Linked DNA regions of Caenorhabditis elegans. Each later gene encodes a partner of the first gene's protein in a complex. Each region holds a gene or a part of one and is shown in the gene's direction. Other genes may lie near its edges. The genes, in order: mdt-18, cdk-8, cic-1 and mdt-21.

What was found.
Region 2: mdt-18 (region 1) and cdk-8 share a complex: the UniProt entries of both Caenorhabditis elegans proteins name them as parts of the mediator complex.
Region 3: mdt-18 (region 1) and cic-1 share a complex: the UniProt entries of both Caenorhabditis elegans proteins name them as parts of the mediator complex.
Region 4: mdt-18 (region 1) and mdt-21 share a complex: the UniProt entries of both Caenorhabditis elegans proteins name them as parts of the mediator complex.

Annotation. Positions count from the first base shown.
Region 1 is NC_003279.8:6,492,282-6,495,763, reverse strand, and holds mdt-18 (Mediator of RNA polymerase II transcription subunit 18), read left to right. Parts: upstream 1-1,916; 5' UTR 1,917-1,932; coding exon 1,933-1,977; exon of another isoform or gene 1,978-2,019; coding exon 2,020-2,094; intron 2,095-2,147; coding exon 2,148-2,263; intron 2,264-2,316; coding exon 2,317-2,381; intron 2,382-2,432; coding exon 2,433-2,719; intron 2,720-2,768; coding exon 2,769-2,879; 3' UTR 2,880-2,942; downstream 2,943-3,482. Other genes in the region: uri-1 (Unconventional prefoldin RPB5 interactor), read right to left, coding at 1-217, 275-1,120, 1,164-1,277, 1,403-1,435; dbr-1 (Lariat debranching enzyme), read left to right, coding at 3,038-3,211, 3,335-3,482. UniProt on the Caenorhabditis elegans protein: Component of the Mediator complex, a coactivator involved in the regulated transcription of nearly all RNA polymerase II-dependent genes.
Region 2 is NC_003279.8:8,700,658-8,706,342, forward strand, and holds cdk-8 (Cyclin-dependent kinase 8), read left to right. Parts: upstream 1-1,808; 5' UTR 1,809-1,904; coding exon 1,905-1,909; intron 1,910-1,958; coding exon 1,959-2,198; intron 2,199-2,322; coding exon 2,323-2,510; intron 2,511-2,561; coding exon 2,562-2,658; intron 2,659-2,707; coding exon 2,708-2,843; intron 2,844-2,889; coding exon 2,890-3,011; intron 3,012-3,061; coding exon 3,062-3,160; intron 3,161-3,541; coding exon 3,542-3,701; intron 3,702-3,749; coding exon 3,750-3,833; intron 3,834-3,887; coding exon 3,888-4,103; intron 4,104-4,151; coding exon 4,152-4,247; intron 4,248-4,697; coding exon 4,698-5,021; 3' UTR 5,022-5,168; downstream 5,169-5,685. Other genes in the region: tlf-1 (TATA box-binding protein-like 1), read right to left, coding at 102-217, 684-765, 870-980, 1,060-1,186, 1,263-1,300; cle-1 (Fibronectin type-III domain-containing protein), read right to left, coding at 5,329-5,397, 5,509-5,612, 5,662-5,685. UniProt on the Caenorhabditis elegans protein: Component of the Mediator complex, a coactivator involved in regulated gene transcription of nearly all RNA polymerase II-dependent genes.
Region 3 is NC_003281.10:2,395,177-2,402,948, reverse strand, and holds the start of cic-1 (Cyclin-C), read left to right. Parts: upstream 1-1,727; 5' UTR 1,728-1,740; coding exon 1,741-1,772; intron 1,773-1,819; coding exon 1,820-1,926; intron 1,927-1,982; coding exon 1,983-2,094; intron 2,095-2,146; coding exon 2,147-2,268; intron 2,269-4,363; coding exon 4,364-4,558; intron 4,559-6,980; coding exon 6,981-7,162; intron 7,163-7,292; exon of another isoform or gene 7,293-7,342; intron 7,343-7,772. Other genes in the region: Sterol 4-C-methyltransferase strm-1, read right to left, coding at 788-850. UniProt on the Caenorhabditis elegans protein: Component of the Mediator complex, a coactivator involved in regulated gene transcription of nearly all RNA polymerase II-dependent genes.
Region 4 is NC_003281.10:11,775,687-11,780,628, forward strand, and holds mdt-21 (Mediator of RNA polymerase II transcription subunit 21), read left to right. Parts: upstream 1-1,934; 5' UTR 1,935-1,957; coding exon 1,958-2,146; intron 2,147-3,179; coding exon 3,180-3,383; 3' UTR 3,384-4,442; downstream 4,443-4,942. Other genes in the region: immp-1 (Peptidase S26 domain-containing protein), read left to right, coding at 669-899; C24H11.5 (Gem-associated protein 7), read left to right, coding at 4,549-4,632, 4,822-4,921. UniProt on the Caenorhabditis elegans protein: Component of the Mediator complex, a coactivator involved in the regulated transcription of nearly all RNA polymerase II-dependent genes.

The DNA of each region.
Region 1 (3,482 bases):
TGCTCATCGCAGCAAGTTCCTTTTGCTCGGGTTCGAGAGCTGAACGATCAACGGGTGTTGGTTCAGTGCTCCGGAGAATTGATTTGGTTTCAATAACTGAATCTTCTTCCTTGATTTCGACAGTGTCTGTTTGATGGAATGTTTTCACATTTTCAAGCTGTTGCGCAAATCGAACTCCCGATTTTTTCCGTTTGACGGTGGTTTTTGTTACGGTTTCCTAAAAATTGTGTGTTAAAATAATAGTGAATTGTTTCTATTTAGTATTTGAAATTACCTCAACAATTTCTTCGACCTTAATCACTTGGGTCTCTATCTTTTTGGATTTCAGTTGTTGGTCAGAATTATTGCTTTTCTCGATATTATCATCAGATGCATAATCATCAGAGTCGAGTTCTTCTACACTATTGTTAAGATTCTCTTCATCATCGTCTCCTTCCTCTTCATCTTCATCATACTCCTCATCGGAACTCTCTTCATCACAAGTGTCTAAGAAATCTAACAGCCGTTCCATTTCCTTCTGTGTTACTCCAGGTTGTGCCAGCAAACGTTCATTCATTCCAAATCTTAGTTTTTTATCAGTTGGATCTTGTTCAACTTCCTCAACTTCCTCTAATTTACCCAAATCCTGTAAATCTTCGTTTGAAACTTCAAAAGGTTTCGGAATTGGAGCTTCTTCCATCTCATCATTGTCTTGTTCCAGTTTCTCTAGTTCTTCCAAACGGTTCATCACATCGTTGTGATCTTGGTCACCATTCAATTTGTTCTTTTCTATTATCTTCTCGTTCTGTTCATCATTTTGAGACATCTTTTTGTTTTTGCGATTTTGATAAAACAGTTTTTCCATCTCTTCATCGTATTTCTCGACAATTTCGATAGGTCCTCCATCAATCGAAACAGATGAGAAATTATCTTGAGCAAACTTTATTTTGTCATCCAACATTCGAATTGAATCGAGACCTTCCTCACGCTGCCTTCTCATTTCAGAAACTCTCCGATCCAAGATCTTTTCAGCTGTATGAATGCTGCATTCTCCGTAATAGTTTGCACCCATTTCCATCGTAACTTGATTCGTGCGAACTACATGGGCACCGCAGAAATAACCGACTTCGCAAATTTTCGCCTAAAAATTAGAATAAGATTATATGAGAGAGAATGTAATTTACCAAAATAGGAGCTTCCAACTTTTTCGAATATTCCTTTGCTCGTTCCAGAACTTTTTCATAGTTATCAGCAATGATTCTTCGACATTCGGTCTCAACTTCGAGCCGAGCTTTAGCCTGAAAAATTAAATTCATACAGACTTAATTATTTTTATACTATTTTAGGGAAACAAACTCGGAATTTAAAAACGAATTATTTTTGTCTTGTCGTTCATAATCATGTAAAAGGATTTTTAATTTACCGCATTGCATTCTGCAACGTAGAGTTCGCTCATTTTTTCAGATAGGTCTTCTTCACTCGTCACAGTCATTTTCTGCAAATCTTAGAGAGGTAATTCGGAGCGGAAAATGGGAAAAAATGTTAAAAAGTAACAATTTCCGAAAGCGCAATTTAAAAAAGTACAAAAAAGTACAAACTTTTATGGAGACACTACTGATTTCTGGAATCTGTTAAATCTTAGAAATGAACTCTTTCAGAATTTCAAACTTCTTTTTTTATATGCGTAAAACTTATCGCATATATTTTATGCAATATTGAAAGTAAGTAGAGTTTTAACCATTAAAGTAACTGAAACCAGAGTTTTATCGTAAAAATGGTAAAATATTCGGGAGTGTTGGTTTCCCTGGAAATGAGTCACGTAGAGTGTGAGTCCGCAAACACCAGCTGTGAATTGCGTAGAATACATTTAATATCACGCTCAAATAGTTTTGAATTAATTTAATTTTTTAAAAACATTTTTTATTCTGTTTATTTAGTTGATTCATTCAAAATATGGACAATTTAGTGGATATTGATGAAGATGGAACACAAGAAAAGGTATTTCGATTGTTAAAATCCATCTAAAACATTTTAATTCAGCTTTCTGTGAATTCAACTCCCTATCAAACACAAGAATGCGTTCTTTATGGATCTATTTTCGCAAAAAATGTCCCAGTTAGTTTTTAAAGTAATTGGACTAAATTCTAATACAAAAGTTTCAACTTTAGGACTTGGAACGACGTTTAGCCGGCCTTTGTGATCCGGGATGTGAGGAATTCTTCGAGCATGAGATGTCATTCAGCCTACGATCTTCGGGTATAATGGATATCAAAACCGATATTAAGTAAGCTTTTTTGTTTATCTATTTAAATATTTGCATGTATTTGATTTTTGAAGATTGCGAAGAAGATTCCGAACAGAACATCGAATTCAAAATTATTGGCAATTAAAGTACATTGGAGGTCGGTTTTAACCTTATAATTCGTATTTTATAATTTTTTGTTTTATTTCAGTTCCGGAACCAGATCAAAAATGCCCAACTATTGTTCGAAAAGAAATCAGTTCACTTGTCCATTCTCAGGATATGATGACGTATGCGAAATCCTTGGGTCTCCGCATGGACTATGAATATATGACACAAGGAAAATTGTGGACAAAAGGAAATATAAAGATTCTGCACTCAATATTGACTAGTACTTCTCGCGCAGGAACATATGATTCAAATTCAATCAAATCTGTTTCTGATTCTGCGTTAGTGGAAATCAGTATCTCATTGCCCGAGTCTGCAGAATACATGCCGGTAGGTTTTTTAGTAATAATTTCGAATTTATTTTTTCAACTCATTTTAGGCTGCCAAGTCTCTTCGTGATTTTGCCGATCAGCTGATGCCACTTGTTAATATGGAAAAAGTCGATTACTGGAAGAAAATGTTCCCAGCTCAAGCAGCTCCTCGTCGTTAATCTTCATTAATTGATTGATCTCACTTTGATACGTTATTTAATTTATAAAATTCACGAAGTATTCAATAATGTTAATATCCCACAAAGCTTCAATGGTTTATACCTTTTATTTTCTGATATCAACATTAAACATTTTTTTACTCCAATGAAAATTTAGAATGTCATCGAAAAATCCAGTAGATGAGCAACCTTGCTGTGGCTCCCATGAAGGTTCGCATCAAGATCCTGCTCCGGAGACGTTAGTAGTTGAAAAAGAAGTTAACAATGGGGAAAAGAAAATACGAATTGCTGTTGTCGGATGCTCTCACGGAGAAATGGATGCTATTTATGAGGTAAAATTTAAAAAAAAATCATATTTTTCGAACAAAATTAATGGCATATTTCAGATCTATTTTCTCTATTAGATTGTTTTAATTGCTATTTAAAATTACAACTATTTAAAAAAAATATTTCAGACAATGACACTAATCGAACAGAAAAATGGCTACAAATTCGATTTGCTGATCTGTTGTGGCGATTATCAAGCTGTCCGAAACTACGGCGACCTTCCACATATGAGTATTCCACCAAAGTACAGAAGTCTTCAAACATTCTATAAATACT
Region 2 (5,685 bases), 2.2 Mb from region 1:
CAAAATTTCGTTGCTCTGATCAGAGATCAAACTACATAGGGACAGAAGGACACGCGCTTTATATATAGTAAATGATAGTAAATGATAATCATGAAACATACCTGTTGTTGTTGTCGATGTTGTGCTTGCGCATAGCTTATCTGTTGTTGTCCTTGCTGATTTTGTGCCATAAATACAGCTCGATTTTGTTGTTGAATTTGATTTGCTACTTGCTGTCCTGGAATTAAATTTAAAACTCTTTTCAGTTTTTCAAACAAGAATGTCTTATACAACACGTAATGTGAGACCCAACACACGAGTTTGAAATTTTCCAGAATTATTTTGATTGTTTTCGATTTTTTTTTGTTTGCAAAAACAGTGAAAATTTAATCAATATTTAATTTTTCCTTTTGGAAAATATGTGAAACTTCAATCGTTCAAAAATCAGAAATCGAGTTATTCGAAATGTAAATGTAGAGTTAATTTGTGTCTAGAATATTATTCCAATAAAACAATTAATTATTGCAGAAACATATACGCGATTCTAGATATACGTAGTACTTGTATTCTATTGATAAAACACACGGCATCCGGAGACCGTAAATAAATTGAAATAAAACCGATTTAAAAAAAAAAATATTTTGTTTTGAATAACATCAATTAAATATTGACTATCAATTTTCTAAATAAAATTAAAAACTTACTCTGATAACCTTGTTGAACGTTATGTCCTTGCACAGGTCGCATTTGAACACCAACTGCAACATTTCGACCCGCTATCGTTCCCTGCAATTTCTTTTGAAAAATTAAAATAGTTTCGTGAATTTGAAATTTTGTTTCAATTCTTAGAATTTGTTATGTTGATTGAGAAACTGATAATAAAGACTTACTGGATGTCCAAAGTTTACTTGCATTGGTTGACCACCAGGAACTTGGCGAACATAGGCAGGACCGACACCATTTTGCTGAATCTGACGTACTCCCGGGGGTAGTTGAACTATCTGAAATAAACTTTAATTCATAAATTCAAGCATATGTCTTGTCTCGAACAAAATTTGATTATATTCTTCAAAATCTCACCCTCTGCTGTCCGTTTCCGTCGTGATGAACCGTTCGAATTCCTGCCGTTTGCACATACGTGGCATTTTGTGATACTGCACCACCAGCTTGTGCAGGCATCACTTTTTGAACGTAAGTTCTGTAATATCTTTCGAGTGTTGTTATTGGATTTCTTGATCCAAATAACTAAAACTGAACAAGCTATTTTTTAATTCAACTCATACCTCTGGTTTCCCATCATTTGATGATCACCCATTTGCATTTGAACTGATCGGCCTGTAAATTTGAGTTGTTATCTTTTGAAAACTCGACAAATGCTAAAATCTGCAACAACGAGAGAGCGAGACTTCGTGAGAACATAAGAATTTTTTGATTTATGTTAGAAAATTCTGGAAAAGTTAAGAAATATTTATTTCCGACGACCAGTTTATTTTAAATTCAGACAAAATAATATCCAAAATACAATATTCGGTTTGTTCATTCTAAACTGATTTGAGGCAAACGCGGTTACAGGATCGATTGAAAGCGTTATTCGCTGCCAAACCAGAGTATCCTCTCTGAATGTGCATTCCTCCTAGTTATTTGTCTGTTAGACATGTGGCATTTATTGATTAGTTAATTTATTGATTTTTCAGTCTTAACGCTGTGTTCTTTGGGAAGAAGAAGTGACGTTCGGCGAGAATTTGCCACAAGAAAAAGTGCTAGAAAACGAAGACCGACGAAGATGTCGTGATATTTGGTGTTTAGTACGTGGGTGCAGTGTTTGCGGACTTCCTTACCGTACACTTCAATTTTAATTTTCGTTTTTCTGGACATCGATTTTCCTGGCATAAAGACTGAGTAGTATTCGCTGTAGTAACTGAAAAATGACGTAAGTTGGAAATTTGCACTATAAATAAATCAGAAAATCCCTATTGCAGATTAATGATTGATGAAAACTTCAAAAAACAATTGGCACAGCGTCGAGAGAGAGTAGAAGACCTTTTCTACTTTGAAAATTCAAAAGAAATCGGCAGAGGAACATATGGATTAGTTTATAAAGCAGTTCCGAAAAAGCAAAATGGACAATTTCCTAACAAAGAATACGCATTAAAAATGATTGAGGGACAAGGATTTTCAATGTCTGCATGCAGAGAAATTGCTCTATTCAGAGAATTAAGGTAATTTCACCGATTAAATAATATTAATTTAAAATGAAGATTGAATTCGAGATTTTCCCCTTTTTATAATCTAAAATTCGAAAAAAAAACTGAAGTAGATATTCAAAAAAAAAAAATGTTTCAGGCATCCGAATTTAATCTGTCTTCAACGTGTATTTCTTACCAACGAAAAAAAAGTCTGGCTTTTATTGGATTATGCTGAACACGATCTCTGGCACGTTATCAAACATCATCGAACAGCTAAAAGCAAGAAAGTCCCAATTATGGTGCCACGGAATATGGTCAAAAATATATTGTTTCAAATTTTATCAGGTTTGAAATTCTAAAATCCAATTTCACTCAACTGTATTTTAAAATATTCAGGAATGCATTATTTACATTCAAACTGGGTACTACATCGAGATCTCAAACCAGCAAATATTCTATTAATGGGTGATGGACCACCTGACATGAGAGGAAGGTTTGACTGAATTTGAAATTTATGCGATAATATGAAATAATAATTCTAGGGTAAAAATTGCTGATTTGGGATTTTCAAGAATCTATGCAAATCCTCTGAAACCGATGGCTGAATTAGATCCAGTAGTTGTCACATTCTGGTACAGAGCACCTGAATTGCTTCTCGGAGCAAAGCATTATACAAAGGTACGTTGAAAAATCTATTTAATAAGGAAAAAATGCATAATCTCAGGCTATTGACGTATGGGCTATCGGATGCATTTTTGCCGAACTTCTTACCGCTGAACCATTATTTTTCTGTAAAGAGGAAGACATCAAGGCACAAAATCCATATCACTATGATCAAGTGAAAAGGTACAGATTTTTTGGAAATTAAAATCATTAACTATTCGAAATTTTTAAAGAATATTCCATCTACTCGGATACCCATCAGATGCTGATTGGCCTGATATGAAGAAAATGCCGGATCATCAAAGACTTCTAAGCGATGCTAGAAATGAAGGGTAAATTATAATATAAAAGTTTTCAAATTTATTTTGATAGATTACTTAAAGGCACATTATTTTTTTCAGTAGCGTGAATGGCTTCAATGAAACCGAATTAGTCTCAAATTAGGAAATACCACAAAAAAAGGAAAAAAAAATCGCGAAAGAATTAAAAATCCAAGATTAAAAAACGAGTCGCTGATTGGTCGCAGTTCTCATTTAGGTGGCAATTCAAACAATTGAAAATCGCGATTTCAAAAGTTGGTTTTTCATTCTTGCGATTTTTTCCATTTTTTGTGGCATTTCCGAATTTGAGAGAATTTCGGATGTGTGAATTTGTATTGCAATATATAACGGCTTTAAAAAAGTTTTACATAATTATAAATAAACAATTTTCAGAACACCAATTCAAACATTTCCAAACAGCTTGCATCGATACTTTGATAAATGGAAAATCAATTCACAAAGCTCTCCATATAGATTACTTGTCAAATTGCTCACAGTTGACCCTACAAAACGTGTCAGTTGTGAAGAAGCGATGAATGATATTTATTTTAGAGTTCGTTTGAAATTTAATTTGAATAATATTTGAAAAAACCATTTGCAGAAAATGGAAAGACCACCAAGGGAGACTGACGACGTGTTCAATAAATATCCAATTCCATACGCGAAGAAGGAACAGCAGATGACGGTAAGGGCATCAATTGTTGAATACACTGCAAATGTTCCCAAGATTCTTTTACAGGTTGCACCAGATCAAGCACAACAACAGCATCAACAACAACAAGTTCAAATGCAACAACAACCACAAATGGGACAGCAACAAATGATGGGACAACCTCAAATGGTACAACCTCAGATGGGACAACCACCAATGGGTGGAGCACATCCCGGAGTTGTTGCTCCAGATGGACATCCACATCAAATGATGCAGCAACAACAGCATCCACAACAGCATCATGTCAGTTTTCTAAATATTCAGAATGAAAAGTTAACTTTTTCTGTTCAGATGCAATATCAAGGAATGCATGATCCAATGCAAGGTGGAATGGATGAAGGACCACAAGCAAAAATGATGAGAATGGGAAATGTTCCTGTTGGAAGAGTAAGCTTTTTAATTAGAAAATAATAATAAAAAACATAACATGGCTGAATATCATAATTAAGGATTTCAAATTTTCAAAGTTTTTGTAAATTTCCAAATTTCGCAAATTTTGATAGATTGATTGTTGAATTTGCAAATTTTTGTAAAATGATTTATAATTTTTTTGTTGGTAAATTGCCAAACTTTCAAAAATTGAAATTTCTTGAAATATTCGTTAATCGTTGCAAAATAGTAGATAGAAACTAATTTTGATAATTTTTGGTTTATTTCCAAATCATGGTAGATGAAGTAATTTTCACTTTTTACTGTAGGTAAAACTATTTTGAAAAATTGTTGAAAAGCGTTACTAGGATATTGGGTCATTTTAAGATCATAGGAGTGATTTTCATCATTTTTCCCTATGGCAATACTCCACTTTTCAAATTCTTATGTTCAATTCTACAATTGCAGTATGCACCGATGCCTCCTCCATACGGTGCTCCACAAGACTATCACCCGCAACAAGGTCCACCAATGGTGCAAATGATGCAACAACCGGGACCATCCGGCTACTATCCACAACGACCAGGACAACCAACAGGAGCAGTTCCTGGACCAGGACCTCAAGGATATATGAATCCACAAATGGGAATGCAAATGGGCATGCGTGCTCCAGGAGTTCCACCACAAGGATATATGCCTGGTCGTGGAATGGCTCCCCCTCAAATGGGACAACAGCAACCCGGTCCAAATCAACAGCAACAACAGCAATGGCAACAACAATATCATCGATAAACATTTCATTTGTAACATGTATGTATCTATAGTACTCACATCAAACTAATATTGCTCGTCATGTGTAATTTGAAGGCTTTGTAAATTGTATTTTTTTGAAATACGTTCACAATAAAATTGAGAAAATACGTGGCAGTTATCAAAATCAAATTCGGAAAGATTTTTTTGGTTTAATTCAAAATAGAAAACAAAGCAAAATGAGTGAATGAAGCCGTTTTTCAGGGGGGGTTCGAGATTTTTTCATCGTAAGGTTGGGGTATAATCATTTAAAACAATTTTAAAATTGAAATTCTATATTGGAAGTCGTTCATTTTTTGAAGTCGGATGTGATTCGATGCAAGCGGAGAATTCGGTCACCGTGATACTTGGACATGTTCTGCAAACATTTTAATTTTAAGATTTTAAAGCTGTTTGGAAATAATATTTCTTTTTCTCTGATGGTCTCACAACGATCGTTTGAACACTTCAATTTAAATAAAAAACGAACCTCAACACACAATACCACTAATTTATTTTCACATTTTTCGGATCCACTTGATTGGAAAATGCTTGTATTCGATGAGATGTGACCTGCCAAAGAAGTCAGAGATGCTGCAATAAATTATATTCTAAAAATTGTCTTCAATTTCTCAAAAATTACAATCGGCTCTTCTCCATCCATCAC
Region 3 (7,772 bases), on another chromosome or scaffold:
AAGTTGAATTTAGCGTAGGAAAGTCGGAAAAAAGTGTTTCAGGGGTAGAACTTGACGACGAATCTGATTTTGATACTAATTTTAAGTTAAAAAATTTAAAAAAAATTGATGTTTTTCCAAAAAAAAAAATTTTCAAAAAAATTTTTTTTTCAATTTTTTTTTTCCGGAAAAGTAAATACCTTTCTTATTATAAAACTATTATTGACATTGTCATTAACAAGGTCACAATAATTATTTGTTCTTCACCAATTTTCGGCGGCGGCGCAAATAACAGAAAAAAGTAGGTCAAATTCATTTCGTCACCTTATATTCCGTTGGTTTCAATAAAACAGAAGAACACGAAGGGTTTCGTACTGATAAGATGTGATAGTACATAATAACATTAATAAGAAATAAATGTACTTTTGGGGGGGAATTTTAAAAAAAAATTGAAAAAAAAAAATTTTTTTTTTGAAAAAATTTTTTTGAGTTTTTTTTTTTTTAAAGTACCATAACTTTTCTCATTTTTAAGATTTTTTTTATAATTTTTAAAGCAGATTGTAGATAAATATTTTATTCAAATAAAAAGTTACAATCGTACTAAAAAAATGTTGAAAATTTCAAAAAATAAAATTTTTTTTGGAATAAAAAATTTTTAGAAAAAATCCTATAACTTTGCTCATTTTTAAGCTATAAAAATGTTTTTTTAAACAAAACAAAGAAAAATCTTCGCATTTTTATTGCATTAATTAAGACTTAAACAAAAATAGGTCGGAATTTCAAATTTTTGGGAAAAAATTCAACTTACCAAATCGTGACGCCGAAAATGGGTGAGAAGCTTCAAAAAGTTGGCATTCATATTGATGGACATGTTTATAGACGAAGAAATTGGCTGGAAATCTGAAAATTTGAAAAAAAAACATTTCGAACAAAAATTTTCTGAAAAAAAAATTTCGAAAAAAAAAATTTTTTTCGAAAATTTTAAATTTTTCCTAAAATCTCCAATATACTAATTAGCACCTAACAAAGCCAATTTCACACTTTAAAACTCCCCAAAAAGCTCCTTTATACGACTTTTTCCAGCCAATTTGTACCACTTTTCTATTTGCTCAGTGACTACAGCGTCAAAAAGGTCAAAAAGGTGCGAATTTCTTATCAAATGATGATTTCTGCTCAGTTTTGCAAACAAAATTGCCGGATTTTCATCCAAGAAATGGGTGACTGTGTCATATTGGATAGTTTTCACTAGCACCCCCGCCAGACTCCGCCTAGTTTCGGGAAAAAGTGAAAGTTCAAGTGGTCAGAGGGATTGGAGACGGGTGAAATGTAGTTGACATAAACCTAAAGCAAATTGGAAGCATTTTGACACAAAAATCATAAACTCATGAGAAACTCTGAAAAATGAGCCAAATTATTATTAATTATTGTGGCTTTGCAGAAAAATTTCGATTTGTCTCGGTTTTAATGGAATTTTTTGAATTTTAACACAGAAGAAGGATTTTGACTACGTTTTGTTGAATTTTTCACAAAAAAAAACTTCAAAACCCCCTCTAAACTAGCCATAATCCACCAGCTTTAAAAAATCGATTTAAACTACCGCGTAAAGACATACAACGACACTCCGGAATCCCGCAGGCGCGTGTTCTTTACCGTAAATCCACACTCCGAATTTATTCTTATTTATTCGAATTTTCATCGATTTCACTCAATTTCCACTGTTTTTCTCGATTTTTTCATTTTTTTAATGATTTTAGTTGAAAAATGGCTTTAAATTTCTGGAAAAGCAGTCATTGGTAAGTAAATCCCATTGAAAAACCCAAAAAAATCCCATTTTTTCCAGCCAACAATGGATTTTCGATAAAACCGAGATTTGGAAGCAACGCGCCGAGGATATGAAGATTTATAACGAGGAAGAGTACAATCGATTGAATATTTTCTGGGCGAATTGTAATTTTTCCTTACTTTTTCCTCGAAAAAATCGATAATTTTTGGTTTTTTTTCAGTTATAACCGCCGTCGCCACAGAAGGAGCCCACTCACAGGCAAATGTTGGATGTAAACTCCGTCAACAGGTTATTGCAACTGCGATTATCTATTTTAAGCGATTTTATCTAAGGTTTATTCGGAAAAAAATGATAAAAAACCTGGAAAAACGTCGAATTTTTCAGGCAATCGTTCCGTGACATGTGCCCATTCCTCGTAGCCTCTACAGCATTATTTTTAGCGTGTAAAGTTGAAGAACACACTACGTTGAGCGTCTCAAGCTTTCTGAAAAATACAGCTATCGTTTGTGCGTTTTTACGACGGAAAAATTGCAAAAAATTGGCAGAAAAACGCGGAAATCCGGCTGAAAATTGGAAAATTTAGTGAAAAATAGGCTTTTGAACCGAAAAAACACCCGGAAAAAACATCAATTTTTCACTTAAAAACCGCTGAAATCCAAATTTTTCAGCTAGAAACTCTAAAAATCACCTCAATAACCAAAAAAAAAAAACAGTTTTTGAGTCAAGTTTTGTCTCAAAAAAATTTGAAATTCCACTCTTGCAGCTCATTTTCCGCTTATTAATCCAAAAAATCGCCTGAAAATCGATTTTTAAGCTGAAAAACTCGAAAAACTCGAAAAATTTGCCTCTTTTTCACTCAAAAATTCGATGCTTTCCTAAAAACGCCAAAAATAAAAAAATTACGGCCAATTTTCAGAAAAATTTAATTAAAAAAACTAAAAACGCCCAACTTACCAGAAAAAAACCCGTTTTAGTCCAAAAAATCGCCTAAAAATCAAATTTTCCACTTAAAAATTCGATTTTTCTGTTAAAAACGGTTAAAAGTTCAGGAAATACCCATAAAGACCCGTTTTAGTCCTAATATTCGTCTAAAAATCGTTTTTTGTGTGGAAAAATCGGATTTTGTCAATTTTTAACCTGAAAAATTCGATTTTTCGCTAAAAACGCCGAAAATTTCAAAAATTCGATAAAAAACTCGTTTTCACTTCAAAAAAATTGCCTGAAAATCTATTTTCGACAGAAAAAACCAAAATTTATCAATTTTCCACTCAAAAATTCATCTTTTTTTTGCTAAAAAAACCAAAAACTTAAGAAAATTTAATTAAAAACCCGGTTTACTTCAAAAAATCGCCTTAAATCAATTTTACCCTCAAAAATTCAATTTTTCTGTTAAAAACGCCAGAAATTGTAAAAAATTCGACCAAAAATGCGTTTTAGTCCAAAAATCCACCTGAAAATCAAATTTTCCACTAAAAAATTCAATTTTTCTGCGGAAAACGCCGAAATGTTCAGAAAATATTCATAAAATACCCCTTTTTAGTCCTAAAATCCGTCTAAAATGTAATTTTTCTGCTAAAAACGCTAAAAATCACAGAAAATTAGAATAAAAACCTCTTCTTAGGCCAAAAAATGGCCTAAAAATCAAATTTTCTAATCAAAAATTCAATTTTTCTTTTAAAAAACCAGTTTTTCAGCAGAAACAACAGAATTTTGTCAATTTTCCACTCAAAAATTCAATGTTTATGCTAAAAAATACCCAAAATTTCGAAAAATTCTATTAAAAACGCGTTTTACTTCAAAAAATCGCCAAAAAATCAAATCTCCCACTCAAAAATTCAATTTTTCTACTAAAAACGTCAAAAATTCGATAAAAAACCCGTTTTAGTCCAAAAATTCGTCTAAAACTCAATTTTTTCTACTAAAAATGCAAAAAATTTCAAAAAATTCGAAAAAAACCCGCCTGAAAACCAATTTTCCCCTCAAAAATTCGATTTTTCTGCTAGAAATTCTAAAAATTTCGAAAAATTCTATTAAAAACGCGTTTTACTTCAAAAAATCGCCAAAAAATCAAATTTCCCACTAAAAAATTAATTTTTCTACTAAAAACGTCAAAAATTCGATAAAAAACCCGTTGTAGTCCAAAAATTCGTCTAAAAATCAATTTTTCTCTCAAAAATTCAATTTTTTCTACTAAAAATGCAAAAAATTTCAAAAAATTCGGGAAAAAACCCCGTTGTACTCCAAAAAATCCGCCTGAAAACCAATTTTCCGCTAAAAAATTCAATTTTTCTACTAAAAATGCAAAAAATTTCAAAAAATTCGGGAAAAAACCCCGTTGTACTCCAAAAAATCCGCCTGAAAACCAATTTTCCGCTAAAAAATTCAATTTTTCTACTAAAAAACCCATAAATTGTCCGAAAAAACGCGTTTTACTTCAAAAAATCGCCAAAAAATCAAATCTCCCACTCAAAAATTCAATTTTTCTACTAAAAACGTCAAAAATTCGATAAAAAACCCGTTTTAGTCCAAAAAATCGCCTAAAAATCAAATTTTCCCCTCAAAAATTCAAATTTCGCGCCCCTAAATCCCTTCATTTTTCAGTGCCAAAACGATGGGGAGTGACATTTGAGACGACATCGACAAAAAATGGAGTTGTCTACGATTCCGAGTTTATTCTCGTTGAAATTCTTGATTGTTGCCTTGTTGTACATCATGCATCACGTCCAATGTTTGAATTATTAGAAGATTTGAAACAATTTACTCAACAATCAACTATTGCTAATCAACCTATTAAAGGTGCCCCCCCCCCCCCCCCCGGGAAATTTTTGATAAAAACTGTGAAAAATTGGAGAAATTGCGATTTTTCCAGGAAAAATTGGGAAAAAAATCGATAAAAATTGGAAAAATTTGAATTTTTTGAGAAAAAAAAAGGAAATATCTGAAATTTTTTAGGGAACAGTGGAATTTTTTTGATTTTTTTTTTGAATTTTTTGGTGAAAAAAATGGAAAATTGTGGAATTTTTAGTGAAAAATTGGAAAATTTTGAATTTTTCAGTAAAAAAGTGGAAAATTTGGAAAATTTTGAATTTTTAATGAAAAAATGGAAAATTTTGGAATTTTTAGTGAAAAATTGGAAAAATTAAATTTTTTAGCGAAAAATTCGATTTTTAAGTGAAAAATCTAATTTTTTTAGTTAAAAATTGGAAAATTTTGAATTTTTAGAGAAAAAAAAAGGAAATATCTGAAATTTTTTAGGGAACAGTGGAATTTTTTTGATTTTTTTTTTGAATTTTTTGGTGAAAAATTGAAAAAAAATTGGAATTTTTGGGTGAAAAATTTGGAAAAATTTGAATAATTAGGGGAAAATTGGAAAAAATTGGAATTTTTTAGTGAAAAATTGAAAAAATTAGAAATTTTGAATTTTTTTAATGAAAAAATGGAAAATTTTGGAATTTTTAGTGAAAAATTGGAAACATCGAATTTTTTTTGAATTTCTTAGTGAAAAATTGGATTTTTTAAGTGAAAAATCTAATTTTTTAGTTAAAAATTGGAAATTTTTGAATTTTTTGAGAAAAAAAAGGAAATATCTGAAATTTTTTAGGGAACAGTGGAATTTTTTTGATTTTTTTTTTGAATTTTTTGATGAAAAATTGAAAAAAATTGGGATTTTTTCGTGAAAAATTGGAAAATTTTGAATTTTTCAGTAAAAAAGTGGAAAATTTGCAATTCAATTTTTGAAGAAAATTTGATTTTCCCCTACAAAAAATATGCCAAAAATTAGGAAACCTCAATTTTTTCGAAGAATTTTTCGGAATTTTTTTCTTAAAAATTTAAAATGTTTTTAAAACAAAACTGAATTTTCACAAAAAAAATCCTAATTTTTCACGAAAAAATTCCAATTTTTTTTTCAATTTTTCACCAAAAAATTCAAAAAAAAAATCAAAAAAATTCCACTGTTCCCTAAAAAATTTCAGATATTTCCTTTTTTTTCTCTAAAAATTCAAAATTTTCCAATTTTTAACTAAAAAATTAGATTTTTCACTTAAAAAATCCAATTTTTCACTAAGAAATTCAAAAAAAAATCCATTTGTCCAATTTTTCACTAAAAATTCCAAAATTTTCCATTTTTTCATTAAAAAAATTCAAAATTTCTAATTTTTTCAATTTTTCACTAAAAAATTCAAATTTTCAAAAAAAAATTCCAATTTTTCACTAAAAAATCGAATTTTTCCAATTTTTCACTAAATATTTAAATTTTTCCAAATTTTCCACTTTTTTACTGAAAAATTCAAAAATTTCCAATTTTTTTCAATTTTTCACCAAAAAATTCAAAAAAAAAAAATCAAAAAAATTCCACTGTTCCCTAAAAAATTTCAGAAATTTCCTTTTTTTTTTCTCAAAAAATTCAAATTTTTCCAATTTTTTCAATTTTTCCCAAAATCATTCAAAATTTTCCAATTTTTAACTTAAAAATTAGATTTTTCACTTAAAAAATCCAATTTTTCACTAAAAAATTCAAAAAAAATTCGATTTTTCCAATTTTTCACTAAAAATTCAAAATTTTCCAATCTTTCACTAAAAAATTCGATTTTTCCAATTTTTCACTAAAAATTCCAAAATTTTCCATTTTTTCATTAAAAAATTCAAAATTTCTAATTTTTTCAATTTTTCACTAAAAAATCCAATTTTTCACCAAAAAATTCAAAAAAAATTCGATTTTTCCAATTTTTCACTAAAAAATCCAAAATTTTCCATTTTTTCATTAAAAAATTCAAAATTTCTAATTTTTTCAATTTTTCACTAAAAAATCCAATTTTTCACCAAAAAATTCAAAAAAATTCGATTTTTCCAATTTTTCACTAAATAATCCAAAATTTTCCAATCTTTCACTAAAAAATTCGATTTTTCCAATTTTTCACTAAAAATTCCAAAATTTTCCATTTTTTCATTAAAAAATTCAAAATTTCTAATTTTTTCAATTTTTCACTAAAAAATCCAATTTTTCACCAAAAAATTCAAAAAAAATTCGATTTTTCCAATTTTTCACTAAAAAATCCAATTTTTCACCAAAAAATTCAAAAAAATTCGATTTTTCCAATTTTTCACTAAATAATCCAAAATTTTCCATTTTTTCATTAAAAAATTCAAAATTTCTAATTTTTTCAATTTTTCACTAAAAAATCCAATTTTTCACCAAAAAACCTCCATTTTTTTGCAGATCTGGAAGCAATTGAAGCTCAATGTCAAAAAGTGGCAAATGATTCGCTAAGATGTGATGTTTCATTGATTTTTCCACCACATGTCATTGGATTATCAAGTATTATGGTTGCAATGGAATTAATGGGCCGTGGAGAAGAATTGGAAGCTTGGCTTGTCGAAGTTGACACTGATTTTGAAAAGGTCTCGGATTTCTACCGGAAAATTGAGATTTCCCGTGAAATTCTACCCAATACTCGAGAAATTTGCCAATTTTTAGAGAATTTGCAAGAAAATCCAGCAAATTCCGCGAAAATAGACAATTTTTTAAGCATTTTTAGCCGAAAAAAAGTTGGTGGCCTAACTTTTTTACTTTCTAGGCCACCAATAGGAATTTTCGAACATTTTTCTTTAAATGTGGAAAACCCCGAGTTTTTTAACCCATTTTGCCAATTTTCAGCCGAAAAATGATGGTGGCCTAACTTTTTGCAATTTCTAGGCCACCAATCGGAATTAAGGGAATTTTTGTGATTTTAGAAAGTCAAGAACGGAAACTTTGACATTTTTGGCATTTTCTTGAAAATTGAACTCAAAAATTGCAAAAACCTGAATTTTTGTGCAATTTGAGCTGGAAAATCCCCGAAAATCGATGCTTCTGTGATTTTCAGTGAAAAAAAACTGAAAAATCGAATTTTTCGGACCTTTTTACCCATGTGGCCGAGTTTTTTGGCTGATGGCCGAACTTTTGTAATTTCTAGGCCACCGATTGGGAATAAGGTCATTTTTTGAACTTTAACGTTTTTTTTTGTGTTTT
Region 4 (4,942 bases), on another chromosome or scaffold:
CCTGAAAAAAAAGCATAGAAATATCTGCAAAAAATGCATTTTTAGCCGAAAATCTCTTTAAAATACCCGATTTTTCATCAAAAAACTACCTAAAAAGTCGCAAAAAACGAGGATTTTTATGGAAAAAATCTGTAAAAAGCCAGAAAACGCAAAAAAAAGTCAATTTTCGTTCAAAAAACCCCAGATTTTTTTATTTAAAAAAAACACCTAAAAAGTCGCAAAAAACGAAGATTTTATGGTTTTTAACGCAAAAAAATCTTTTTTTTTTCGATTTTCTCGAATTTTCAGATGTTTCTTGCACTTTCAGTTGTTTCCAGCCAATTTTCATTTCAAAAATTCGATTTTTCCTAGAAAACCACCTAAAAAGTCGCAAAAAACGAGGATTTTCAGGTTTTTAACGCAAAAAATCCAATTTGCTCCGATTTTCCCGAGAAAAAAACCCTAAAATTTCAATTTTTGCAGGAAGGCGACCCAGTGTCATGTTTTTAGCCAATTTTCGTTTAAAAATCCGATTTTTCATCCAAAACCACCAAAAAAAGTCGAAAAAAAAATAATTTTTCCTTGAAAAATTCAATTTTTTCCGATTTTTTCAAATTTTCAGATGTTTTTAGCCAATTTAAATGCTATTTTTCATTAAAAAAAACCCATAAAATTTTCAATTTTTTCAGGAAGGCGATCCAGTAACCTCCCATTTGCTTCCATCTGGCAGAGTTCCAATTGGTCACGTATTCCTTCGCGGTGACAACGGCCCAGTTTCAACAGATTCCAGACATTTCGGCCCGGTACCTGAAGCCCTTGTTCAGATAAGGCTCAGCCTGAGAATATGGCCTCCAGAGAGAGCCGGATGGATTTCTGATCATTGGTTTTGGGATAAAAGTGATAGAAATGCAGAGAAATAGGCTTCTTTTTCAGTGTAATTATGTGCTTTTCCACCCTTTTTTCCTGGTTTTTGTCTCACTTTTTTTTTTGCCATAAAATACTATTTTTCCATGTTTTTCTACTTCCATTTTCTATTTTTTTAATGGGTTTTAACCCTATTTTTACCTGAAAAAAACACTTTTACAGCAAAAATTCCATGAAAACTATCAATTTGAAGCCAAAAATCCAATTTTTCATCAGAAAACTCTCTAAAAAGTCGCTAGAAAACTAGAATTTTTGGTTTTCAGCGCAAAAAAAATTCAATTTTTAATTGAAAATTAAAAAAAAAATTAATTTTACTCATTTTTTATTCATTTTTATCCGATTTTCAGAGCCTTTCGACCAACTTTTCATCAGAAAACTACCAAAAAAGTATCAGAAAGTATGGATTTTCAACGCAAAAAATTTAGATTTCCATGGTAAAAAGTTGAAAAAAAAAATCGATTTTCACTCCATTTTAATTCATTTTTATCCGATTTTCTCGAATTTTCAGAGTTTTAGCCAAGTTTCGTCTAAACAATTCAAACGTCTACTAGAAAACCTCCTAAAAAGTACCAAAAAACGCACAAAATCCGGTTTTTTATTAGAAAAATACCTTAAAAATCGCAGAAAATAAGGATTTTTTTTAGTTTTTCAACTCAAAAAAATCAATTTTTCTTGGTAAAAATTTGAAGAAAAAAAATAATTTTTATCCGATTTTCTCAAATATTCAAAGTTTTTTAGCCAATTATCTTCAAAAAATTCAAATTTCTACTAGTAAATTCCTAAAAAGTTCCAAAAAACGCATAAAATCCGGTTTTTTATCAGAAAAATACCTTAAAAATCGCAGAAAATAAGGATTTTTAGGTTTTCAACTCAAAAAAATCAATTTTTAATGGAAAAAATTTGAAAAAAAAAATGAATTTTCACTCCATTTTAATGCATTTTTATCTGATTTTCTCGAATTTTCAGAGGATTTCGACCAATTTTTATACGAAAATTCCAATTTTTTATTAAAAACTACATTTCAAGCTCATTTTCAGCCCAAAAACTCTTGAAAATGGCTGATCGAATGACCCAACTACAGGATATGATTAACGAAATGGCCGGATTAATGACAAATGCGATTGGAGTGCTCCAGGCGACTGCTCCGCCATGTGAATTTGGAGCAATTTCACAGGAGCTTGAGGATGAGCCAAATTGCGCGATTTTTGCCGCTGGAATTGCAAAAGCCGCTAAAAATATTGAGGTTTTCTATAGAATTGAGCATTTTTCGGCCAAATTTTCAGAAAATCCTAAGCAAAAAGCTTCAGAAAAGCTGTTTTTCTCGTTTTTCAAACTATTTTTAGCCTGTTTTAACTCAAAAAATTCCAGAAAATTCCAGGAAACCCTAATTTTTATTCAAAAAATTACAAAAAAATCCTCATTTTTACCCGACAAAAATTTAAAATTTGTATTTTTCTATTTTTTTTAACTGAAAATTAGATTTTTTTTTGAAATTTTTGTGAAAAGTGGATTTTTTTTTAATTTTGAGTTTTTTTTAGTTTTAAATTAAATTTTTTTCGGCTGAAAATGAGGATTTTTGTAATTTTTGAAAATTATTGTTTCCTGGAATATAAAATAGTTTGAAAAACGAGAAAAACTGCTTTTCTGAAGCTTTTTGCTTAGGATTTTCTGAAAATTTGGCTGAAAAAATTAATTTTACAATATTCAGCCAAAAAATTTCAGAAAAATTCAATTTTCGGGTGAAAATTTGAAAAAAATTGTGAAAATTCGATTTTCCGGGTGAAAAATGAAGAAAAATCGAAATTTTTCTTTAAAAAAATTCAAAAATCCACATTTTTAGCCGAAAAAAAAAATTAATTTAAAATTTAAAAAAACTCAAAATTAAAAAAAATCCACTTTCCACAAAAGTTTCAGTAAAATTAATTTTCAGCCAAAAAAGTACAGAAAAATCCAATTTTTATTGAAAATTTTAAGCAAATTCTCATTTTTGCCGAAAAAATCGTGATTTCTACCCAAAAAACAGCAAAAAAAATCCAATTTTCTGTCGAAAAATTCAATTTTCGGGTTAAAATTTGAAAAAAATTGTGAAAATTCGATTTTCCGGGTGAAAAATAGAACAAAATTAATAATTTTCTTGAAAAAAATCTCAAAAAAATCGAATTTTAGGTCGAAATTCTTTTGAAAATTCGATTTTCTGGGTGAAAAATGGCTAAAAATCGAAAAAATTCAATTTCCAGCTTAAAATTTCGGGAAAAAACCAATTAAATAATTTTCAGATCCTCATCGACTCATTCCCAATCGAAGCGGGCAACCAGGAAGCGGAAGTCGAGGAGAAAATGATAAAAAACGACGAAAAGCAGCGAGAAAAAGTGAATGAGCTCGTCGGACTCGTCGGCGACAGCAATCGGCTCGTCGGAGTTGTTCAGAAGAAGCTTGCCGAGATTTCAAAGACACAAATGAGCTCGAGACCCAGTGAATAATTATTATATTTTGCCGATTTTTGCCGATTTTTTATTGTAATTTTCATCATTTTTCCATTATTTTGGGCCGATTTTCTGGTAAATTGAGAAAAAAAAATCAATTTTCTAGTCCATTTCCTCTTGACAATTCTTTAAAATCCAGAAAAAATTGCCTAATTTGCTGTGAAAATTTCAATTTCATATCGATTTTCATGTTTTTTTTCCATGTTTTCAGCCGATTTCCATTTTTTTTTGTGATTTTTCCTTAATTTTTCGATTTTAAATCAACTTTTTTTCCATTTAAAATCGATTTTTCATCCCTTTTTGCCCCTGAAAATAGTTAAATTCTAATTAATTTTCCCCTATTTTTCTTGAAATTTTCGATTTTTCTCATTTAAAATCGATTTCCACCACTTTAAATAATTAGAAATTCCCAGAGAAAATTGATTTTCATAGCAAAAAATTATTTTGGGCCGATTTTCCCGGAAAATTGAGAATTCTAAATCAATTTTCTAGTCCATTTCCTCTTGAAAATTCCTTAAAATCCAGAAAAAATTTTGCCTAATTTTCCGTGAAAATTTCAATTTCATATAAACTTTCATGACTTTCTATTAAAATTGGGATTTTTCCCATTTAAAATCGATTTTTCAACCCTTTAAAATATGTCAATTTTAATTTATTTTCATTCATTTTTTCCCATTCAAAATTGATTTTCTACCCTTTTTTCTACTGAAAATTTGCTAAATTTGAAAAATTGTGGGTAATTTATCTTTTTTTTTTTAAATTTTTTTCCTCAAAAATAATCATTTTTAATTCAATTTTCCCCCATTTTTCTAGAAAGTTGCCAATTTTTCCCCATTGAAAATCGATTTCCACCACTTTAAATAATTAGAAATTCCCAGAGAAAATCGATTTTTTTTCAAATTTTTCCCTTGAAAATTCCAAAATTTCTTAAATTTCGAAAAACTGTGATCTCTTTTTCTTTTTATTTAATTTTTAACTGTTTTCTGTATTTTTGCCCATTTTTTACACTTTTCCCCCAGAATTTGGGTATTTTTAAATTTAAAATTTGATTTTTTTTTTAAATTTAATACTCCTCATTTTCCTATTCTATTGGCAAAAACCATGGTTTTTTATCTGAAATTCTCTTAAATCTAGCCTAAAACCCTAGCAAAACCACTTCCAGATGGCCCAGAGCACACAAGAAGCAGAAGGAGAGCAACAGAGGCGACAAGCTGTGCTCCGGGAGCGATATTTGAGCTTTTTGCAGGTGAAAATTGGACATTTCATCTACAAAACCTCTCAAAAAATCGATATTTTTGGTGAAAATCTGAAAAATTCAGCGAAAATTTTGAAAAAAGCCACCGATTTTCTCATTTTTCAAGTCTAAAAACTGAAAATTTTCCAAAAATCCCAATTTTTGTGCCATTTTTCCCCGAAAATTCTCGAAAAATTCCAGAAATCCGCCGACAAGCCAGCCACCATCGAAATGTGCGAACGAACTACGGTCACCGCCACAATTAAAGCATTTCAACCGTCTTCGGAGCACGTGATCGTCGGTACGGTGGCCGTGGCCTAGG